Linked DNA regions of Caenorhabditis elegans. The protein of the gene in region 1 interacts with the protein of each later gene in a pairwise test. Each region holds a gene or a part of one and is shown in the gene's direction. Other genes may lie near its edges.

What was found. Proteins that work in one complex are often made in the same cells at the same time.
Region 2: the proteins of rfc-3 (region 1) and rfc-1 interact in a two-hybrid assay, tested with the Caenorhabditis elegans proteins (3 studies listed by BioGRID).

The regions. Positions count from the first base shown.
Region 1 is NC_003282.8:13,093,867-13,097,580, forward strand, and holds rfc-3 (Replication factor C subunit 3), read left to right. Parts: upstream 1-1,895; 5' UTR 1,896-1,902; coding exon 1,903-2,078; intron 2,079-2,122; coding exon 2,123-2,834; intron 2,835-2,895; coding exon 2,896-3,072; 3' UTR 3,073-3,214; downstream 3,215-3,714. Other genes in the region: C39E9.12 (SAP domain-containing protein), read left to right, coding at 145-279, 324-474, 521-1,258, 1,308-1,513; dli-1 (Dynein light intermediate chain), read right to left, coding at 3,250-3,384, 3,432-3,662, 3,713-3,714.
Region 2 is NC_003283.11:14,642,143-14,647,641, reverse strand, and holds rfc-1 (Replication factor C subunit 1), read left to right. Parts: upstream 1-1,662; 5' UTR 1,663-1,790; intron 1,791-1,840; 5' UTR 1,841-1,896; coding exon 1,897-1,930; intron 1,931-1,986; coding exon 1,987-2,054; intron 2,055-2,100; coding exon 2,101-2,205; intron 2,206-2,248; exon of another isoform or gene 2,249-2,255; coding exon 2,256-3,024; intron 3,025-3,073; coding exon 3,074-3,393; intron 3,394-3,446; coding exon 3,447-3,755; intron 3,756-3,870; coding exon 3,871-4,268; intron 4,269-4,321; coding exon 4,322-4,838; 3' UTR 4,839-4,975; downstream 4,976-5,499. Other genes in the region: pmp-3 (ATP-binding cassette sub-family D member 4), read right to left, coding at 1-109, 160-452, 841-889.

The DNA.
Region 1 (3,714 bases):
AACGTACACCGCGCGAAAAACACAATTTTTCAAACAGCGATGGAGGGAAATTTCTTGAGTCCTATTTTGTTTCTTGTTCATTTGTTCCTTGTTTCATTTGCTTTTCTGTTCTCACTATTCAATAAAAATAATAATTTCAGTAAAATGTCAGCCAAAAATAAAGAGCTCGCCGAAGAGGACGTGCTCAACATGACATGCGACAAGCTTCGCAAGGAGTTAAAGAAGAAAAGGGCTTCGACTGCGGGAAAGAAATCGGAACTTCAATCGCGTCTTTTGGAGGTTTGAACTCAGTCGAAACAATGTGATTAATTTAACTTTTTCAGTTTCTCGCTGGCCAAAATAATGCCGGAAACGGGGAGGCAATCAGGGAAGAGCCGGAAGCCGAGGCTATGGACACCGACGAAGCACCTGCCAATCGCACATTCACAGTTGAAGAGGAAGAAGAAACTGAGAATACTACTGGCAGATTTGTTCGTAAGTTATATTCCATTTAGTTGAAATTTAAACAGCTTTATTACAGACGAGAATACTCCGACAAATGCGGTTGCTGTCGTTTTGGATGATGACTTGAGAAACCGTCTCTGTGGCAGTTTGGGAATCGATCTGCAAAGCTTCGAGGTGAAGTCACGCCCGAGAGTTCATCGTCTTTCGACAAGACTGTCTCTCCGCGCTAGTTCGTCGACTCCTCAAACATCTGAGCGACCAGGAATGCCGATCGAGAACAGAGGAATTACGCCAGTTCGTCAGCGTGCTCCATCCAGTGGAAGAGACAGATTCGCAATGATTCATGCAAGAGAGATGGAAAAAGAAGAAACACTCGGAGAGCGTCAAGAACGATTGAAGAAACGACACGAATTCATGACCGGCGACGTCCCAGAAGCTATCAGGAGACTTGCTACCCCGAAAAGTGTGCCAAGACGTGACCCAGTTGATAGATCAACTACAAGATCTGCTGCGCGCAATTGGCAAGTTCAGGATCCTGAGAAAATGTCCTTCCAATTCGGGGATAAATCTGCTGATGATTTTCCCGCTCTTGTCAGCTCACGAGCTGGCTGCTCATCGTCATCTGCTGCCACCACCTCTACCAAAAAGACAAAGTCCGTTGCAAGATCTCATGTGGACGTGAAGAAGCTCACCAAGTCACAAATCCCGAAACCATGCCGTTTAACTTCTCGAAAAATCATTCCTGCAACTGTCCCAGAAGATGATACATTCACCGAGTACATTTCCACGCCAAAAGGAACCACTCCAACTAGAGGTAACTATTCATATTTATCTTTTTTTCGCTAATTCATAGCAATTTTTAGTTCCACGACGTGCTGGTTACACACCACACTCTACGAGAAAAGTGTTCGTCGACACGACTCAATTGACGGATCGCGAGTTCACTTTGGCACTGGAGGAAGGATTAATCCCCGGAAGAGCTGCCACGAACCTCGAGAAACAACAAGTGGAGAACAAGAAGCGCCGTGACGACATTATCGCACTCAAGCGTAAAATGAATATCAAGTAGATATCTCAATTATTTTCTTATTTATCTTCACTCACTCGTCTCACTAGGCTAAACCTGTAAAATATTTCGTTGTTGACTTGTCGAGTTTCTGAAAATGAATTCTTTTAATTTATTACAATTCTCTTTATTTATTTTCTATTTATTTATTCCTCTATTCAATTGTTTGCGACAATTGTGATATCTTTGAATATGTCTTTTAATTTTTTTAGCAAGAAATATACGGTGGATCCGGATTCCCGAAGCGCAATTCGCGGCACGGTTTAATTTTTTAATTTACCATAAAAGCGCGTGCCGCGGAATTACTTTTCGGGTTCCACCTTCTATTTCTCGCGCTTATTTTGGACTTTAATTACTCTGACAATATAATATTAATCTTTTCTAGTGCAAAAATGGCGTTGTGGGTGGACAAATATCGACCAAAGGACTTGTTGGGAAAGGATGGCGTTGATTATCACATCGAGCAGGCCAATCATTTGAAGTTTCTCTCCGCAGACTGTATGCCGCATCTCTTGTTCTGTGGTCCCAGTGGAGCTGGAAAAAAGACACGGATCAAGTGTCTGTTGAGGTTTAATTATTGGTAAATTCAGTAAATAAAATAATATTTTTCAGAGAGCTTTACGGTGTTGGAGTCGAGAAAACGCAGCTCATCATGAAGTCGTTCACTAGTCCGTCGAATAAAAAACTTGAAATACAGACTGTCTCGAGCAATTATCACATCGAAATGACGCCGTCTGATGTTGGAATCTATGATCGAGTTGTTGTGCAGGATCTCGTTAAAGAAATGGCACAAACGTCTCAAATCGAATCAACTTCTCAAAGATCGTTCAAAGTTGTCGTTCTTTGTGAAGCGGACTCACTGACTCGTGATGCTCAACACGGACTTCGTCGAACTATGGAGAAGTACGCGAATAACTGTAAAATCGTTTTGAGCTGTGAATCCCTGTCCCGTATCATTGAGCCACTTCAATCTCGTTGCATCATCATCAATGTGCCAGCTCCAACCGATGAAGATGTGACCAAAGTCTTGCGGAAAGTGATTGAACGGGAGAGCTTTCTACTTCCGGAGAACGTTTTGCAAAAGATTGTGGAGAAGTCTGAAGGAAATCTGAGAAGAGCTATTCTGATGACTGAGGCTTTAAGAATGGAGAACGAGAGTGGTGTGGCTGAAAGTGTAGTAATTCCGGTTCCGGAATGGGAGATTTATATCCAAGAGACTGCTCGTCTGATCCTCCAGAAACAGAGCTCCGATATGCTTCTGAAAGTTCGCGAACGATTGTACGAATTGCTCTCCAGATGTATTCCACCAACTGTCATTTTTAAGGTGAGTTATAAGCACACAAATAGTATAAAATGTTCAAAAATATTTAGAAATACATTTTCAGAAACTTCTCGAGCATCTCCTTCCCAAATGTCCGCCACAAATTGCACGTGAAGTTGTCAGTGAAGCAGCGAAATTCGAGCATCGCCTTGTTCTCGGACAAAAAGCAATTTTCCATCTTGAAGGATTCGTCGCCGCTTTCATGGACATTTACCTTACTAATGCTTCTAAACCCAAGTGATCTCTGTCCCCGCGTATTATATTATTCTACTTTTGTGTAATCATAAACTTGAAACGAACTACATTATGGTTGTGTGGGTATTTACAGAAACAGCATATAATAAAAATCGTATCGCAAAGGAGAATAAAATGACCGGCGATAAAGCTTAAAATATTTAAATAGATTATGAAAATGACGTTATGCATCACTGTCCCGGGGTTGAGGTTTCGGGCTTTGCGCAGACTTCAGAAGACGATCGAGTTGGGCCTGGGTGGCTGCGGCATCCATCGGCTGGGAAACAGTGGAAGGAGAGCTCACCTTGCTCGGCTTGTCCTGAAATATGGAAATTCACATAGAAAAAAGATCTAAGATTGATTTACCTTATTGAGCAAGTTGGAGAAGAAATTGGCGAGTGGACTGTCCTTATCGGTAGGCTCTTCTTGCATAGTCCTCGGCTTGGGAGCGGCCGTAGTGGTTGAAGTTGCCAGGATGTCCATCAACTTCTTCAAGAAAGCCTGATCTTCCTCGGCTTCGATGAGCTGCTCTTTTGCGACAGGTCTAAGCTTATCGCGAGTCGGCTCTAAAGCTGAATCCACATCCGGAATAGACTCCTGAAATTAATCATGAACTCGGATTCTCCAATTACTTATGTAAAACTTACAC
Region 2 (5,499 bases), on another chromosome or scaffold:
GCTTGAAGAAAGCTTGTCTCTTGAAATATAACCTATGCATCGTGAGATTACATACTTGACGACTTTTGATCGCTAACATATTTGTAAGATATTTGAATACTGCTAATGTCTGAAATTAAACGCTAATTAGGATGAGAAAATATCGAATTTCGATCTTACAAAAGCTTTTCCAAGAATAATCGCGGCTCCCCGTGCACACAGAATTTTAAACGTGTCAGCATCCTTGTTTCCCAGTGCCACGTAGAACAGACTTGGCTGGATTCCAACTAAATACGTCATTACTTGATCGAGAGCAGTTGCGATGAGCAGTGCTCCGGCGAGCCACGCGGTTATCGATCGACGATGACATGGAAACAGGATTTTAAGAAGACGCCAGAACCTCCGAAAGAAGAGGAAGTCGAGGGCCAATCTGGCCATTTTGACCGGATTTTGGGCCGAGGCGTTTTTGCGACCTGAAATTTTGTGATTAGGAAGGCTTTTTTCAGAAGATGCCCCAGAAATAGACATTAAGAAGAGGAGGAGTGGAGTTGAATTCAAGAAAAATAGTGAATTTCAGTGGAGATTTTAGACAAACTTGAAGCTTTTTTTATGACTGGACAATTCTACTGAGATCAACCGGAGCAAAAAACAAAGCATTTTTCTGGAATTTAAAATGTTTCAAGGAGAATATTTAAGACAACCAAACACCATTCAAATCCGAAACAAAAAAGAAAAGAAACGTAGGCCGGCCATACCATCCCATTCAAACCAAATGAGGTCGATAAAGGCGTTGAAAAGAGCACAAAGAAATGAGCACAGAGACGTGGACAATGAAGAACAGAAATGGATAATGATTATCACCTTTTTCTGTTCGTACTTCTTCCAGTTGAATTTCTTGATCCGACTCCATGCGGGATGTGCAATCTGGAAAGAGCTGGCTGTGAGTGAACATGCAAAAACATAATTTATATTTACAATAACAATAGAGATAACGACGATCAAAACAAAACTAAAAAACAAAAGCTATTCAAGGTGCTGCTGAGTTTTTGTGCATTGATAACAATTCAGTTTTACAGAAAAAAAAACAGAAAATGAAGCTTTCGGCATAAATTATTACAATTTTATGTTCCAAACATAAATAAACAGACTATAATGATTCGAATATTTTGAGAAAAAGCTTCAGTTTTCGACGGTTTTGCAGGAATAAGTTCGGTCAGCTGTACACGCAAATACATTTGCGTCCGCACACAGTGTAACGAGGAGAGTGGGGGACAGGAGAAAGTGAGGCAAGCGGAAAGAGAGATTGCAAACGCAGACGATGAAGAAAAAAATGATGGGCGGGGAAGCATTGGGCACTTTTTGGGGGAAAGATGAGGACCCTTTGATATTCAGAATTTTATATTCAGATTTATAACGTGATTCGTGCGAGGAGAATTATCAGTTTTATATAGGATCTTTGAGTTGAAATAAGACGAGAATTTAATTTTTTATCAACAAAAAATCGGGAAGATATGTAACGAATTTCTTGAACGGAAAATAGCAAGGAATCTTAAAAATTTATGAAAAATAAATTGCAATTTTCATACTGTAGAAATTAAAGGGACATTACGAATAAGCCGAATAAGGCCTCGGCACGATTTCAAAAATGCAAATACGCTCTGTTGGAATTTGCTTTTCCCGCTCAGTTTTTTAAATTTTAAAACTTTTTTTTTCATTCTTTTTCATTTTGGCTCCTCAAGATTGTTCCTGCTTTTCGATCGTTTTTTCGAAACCGAAAATTACGAAAATACACCCAGATTTTGGCGATTTTTGTAAGCCTTTCTATAGTTTTTAATCCCCAACAAAAATTATATTTTTTAAGCCGACGGAGAGAATCCAATCCCTCGACATTTACGGAAGATCGCCTCAAAAAAGGAAATGAGTACAAAAAGAAAGATTGTGGTTTCTTCGGGTAAAAAACAAATTGCATTCTGTGCAAATGTGTATTACGAAATTTCTTTTTTTAAGATTCCGATGATGATATGCCATTCACCCAGGAAAAGCAAAAGAAGGCAGCGACACCGGCGAAAAAAAGGGTTCGGAAATTCATGTGAACTGAACCCTCATTGAGAAATGTTTCAGACAAAGCCAGTAGTACTAACCGATGACGACGAAGAAGAAGAAAATGCACCTCAAAAAAAGACTGCACCAAAAAGATCGAGAAAGCAAGAAAAAGAAGAGAGCGATGTGAGAAAGCACTCTAATATCCATGAAATATCGCAATAATTAGCTTTTAGATAACCTCTGACGAAGACGAGCTCGTGCGCGGAACTGATGAAAAAAAGAAAAGAAAGGGTGGAAAAAAGGAGTTACCAGTTGGTCAAAAAACGCTGGATTATATGTTCAAACCTTCTTCGTCATCTTCGAAACGTGATGATCCTAAGAAAAAAGTCGAAAAAACATTAGTGAATCCCGCAGACTTCTTCAAAAACTCACCAGCGCCATCTGCATCAAAACTTCCAAAAGTTGCTCCGAAAACTGTTGAAAAACCAAAAACGCCAGCTAAGAAGCCAGTGGAGATCAGCCCGTCGACCAAAGAAAACACTAAAACAAAGAAAGTGTCGGACGATGAGTTCGTAGATTCTGATGATAGTTTTGACACGTTCACTCCTATTACTGTGAAAAAGAAGACACCTGAAAAGAGAAAGGAGACCCCGAAAAAGAAAGAGCTTCCTTCTGTCAAAAAAGAATTCCCAAAGAAGCAATCAATTCCTGTCAAAAAAGAAAAAGAAACTCCACAGAAAAAGGCGTTATCAGTGAAAAAAGATCCACCGAAAGTAACCTCCGAGTCATCTTCGTCGAGTCAAGTTTCCACGTCATCAGTCGTTTTTCAACCGAAACCAAGTGGGCCACCCCCAGCACTTTCATGGGTTGATAAGTATAAGCCGAAAAGGATGGGAGAACTTGTTGGCCAGAATGGAGACAAAAGCCCAATTAATAAGCTTTTGGAATGGATTAAAGACTGGGCAAAACACAATCTTGGCGAAGGGGCAAAAATTAAGAAGCGTAAGTAATTTTATTTCTATTTTATTATAATATTATCGGCAATTTTCAGCAAAACCAGCTCCATGGATGTCATCTCAAGATGGTACATCATTCAAAGCAGCTCTTTTATCGGGTTCTCCTGGAGTTGGAAAGACTACATGCGCCTATATGGCTTGTCAACAACTGGGCCTTCAACTTGTCGAAATGAATGCATCAGATGTGCGTAGTAAGAAACATCTCGAAGCGAAAATTGGCGAACTCTCTGGTTCTCATCAAATTGAGCAGTTTTTCGGAGCGAAAAAGTGTGCTCCACAAGATAATCAAAAGGTTCATCATATCCTGATTATGGATGAAGTCGACGGAATGTCTGGAAATGAGGATCGAGCTGGTGTGAGTTTAAATGAAGAACTAATATATTAATATTCAAATGTTTATTTTTACAGATCTCTGAGCTCATCCAAATTATCAAGGAGTCTAAAATTCCAATTATTTGCATTTGTAATGACCGGCAGCATCCGAAAATTCGTACACTGGCCAACTATTGCTATGATCTTCGTTTTCCAAAGCCACGTGTCGAGACTATTCGTTCTCGGATGATGACCATCTGTTCTCAGGAAAAAATGAAAATTGGCAAAGAAGAATTGGACGAAATTATCGAGTTATCCGGTCATGACGTCCGGCAAACAATTTACAACCTGCAAATGAGGTCAAAGGGAGTTGGAGCAAAGATCAACCAGAAGGATATGGCTGTGGTAGGTCTCCTAGCCGTGAAATTTTGCGATTTTCGCGCCAAAAATGGGGTACTTGGTCTCGATACGAAACTTGCGCCTGGTTATACAAATTCTGAAATCTTAACAACATTTTCAGGATGCATTCTCGGCGGCTCGTCGTCTCCTGGATTCTCGTACGACATTAATGGAAAAGCAGGAAATGTTCTTCACTGACTATGGAATCATGCCACTTTTCGTCCAGGATAATTATCTCAATATGAAAAATGAAAAGCATAGTCCAATCCAAGCGATCCGTGGAATACGAAAAGCTGCAGACTTCATTTCCCTTGGAGACCTTATTGATCGGCAAATTCGTGGTGGAGGATCCTGGAAGTTGCTCAATGAGCAGAGCATGATTTCTGCTGCACTTCCAGCGATTGCCACTGGTGGACATTTGAAGGCAATGATTCAGTTCCCATCGTGGTTGGGAAAAAACTCGACAGCTGGAAAACGGAAGAGATTGCTTCAGCAACTGGTTCAACACACACATCTCAAGTAAGTTACGCTAAATTCATTATGGGAATTAGGAATTTATTTATTACTTTCAGAGTTTCTGCTGGTACTCACTCATTTGCCACTGATTATGCTCCAATGCTCCGTCAGAAAATAACGAAACCACTTCTTGAACATGAAGCTGATGGAATTCCAGATGTGATCAGCACAATGACAGAATACGATCTCATCAAAGACGACACTGAAGCACTCACAGAAATTGTTGCTTGGCCTGGAAAAATTGATCCGGCTAGTAAAATTTTGAGTAAGGTGAAAGCATCATTGACTAGAACTCTAAACAAGACTGGTCGAATGCTTCCATACTCGATGGATTCTGTGTCAAAAGGAAAGAAACGAGGTGTGAATTCAATTGGAATTGAAATGGACGAAGAAGGAAATCTAGTGGAGAAATTTGAAGATGAAGATGGAGAATCCGATAATGAGGATAACGAGGAGAAAACTACTGATGTTGTTATTAAAGTTAGGACTGGTGGAGGTGCCGGAGCTTCAAAATCTGCTCGAGGTGGACGTGGTGGTGGTCGGGCTCGTGGAGGAAGAGGAAGCAAGAAATGATTATAGATGTCCAGTATTATTCTAACTATTACCGTAAACTTGCAATAAACCCTCTTGAATGATCACTATTTCGACAAAGCAGATATTCTTGCAGGAAAACTATTAAAAACTGGATAAAAAATCATGTTACAACGATTTATTTGAGCACGATGAAACAATTTAATTTTAGTCATTTTGCACCAGGAGGACAACGTATTATGGTTTTGCCAAAAATGTTGAAAATTTCGTTCAAGATCATTGAGATATTCACAACTGTTTTCTATATTTGTCAAGTTAGTTCGCATTGAAAGAGAAATCAACTCTGACTAAATTGAAGACAATAGAATCGTTGTGAAAACTGGATGAACCACGAAATTTCGCGATATAGTGGTCTTTCATAAAAAGGAATGAAATCGTAGGGAATTGGACCAGCAATTGTGAAAGCATCGGGAGGGATTGTAACATAGAAAATGTGGTAATGGAGTGCACGTGGTGTCAAAGTGTCCCATATTGGTTTGATCTACGTAGAAAACGTCGTAGATCTACATAAATGCGGGAGAAGAGACGCAGAGTTCTCAACTAATTTTGCATGGTTAAAAACGTGCCGACGTCACATTTTTTGGGCAAAAGATTCCCGCATTTTTTTGTAGATCAAACCGTGATGTGACAACCTGATACCACG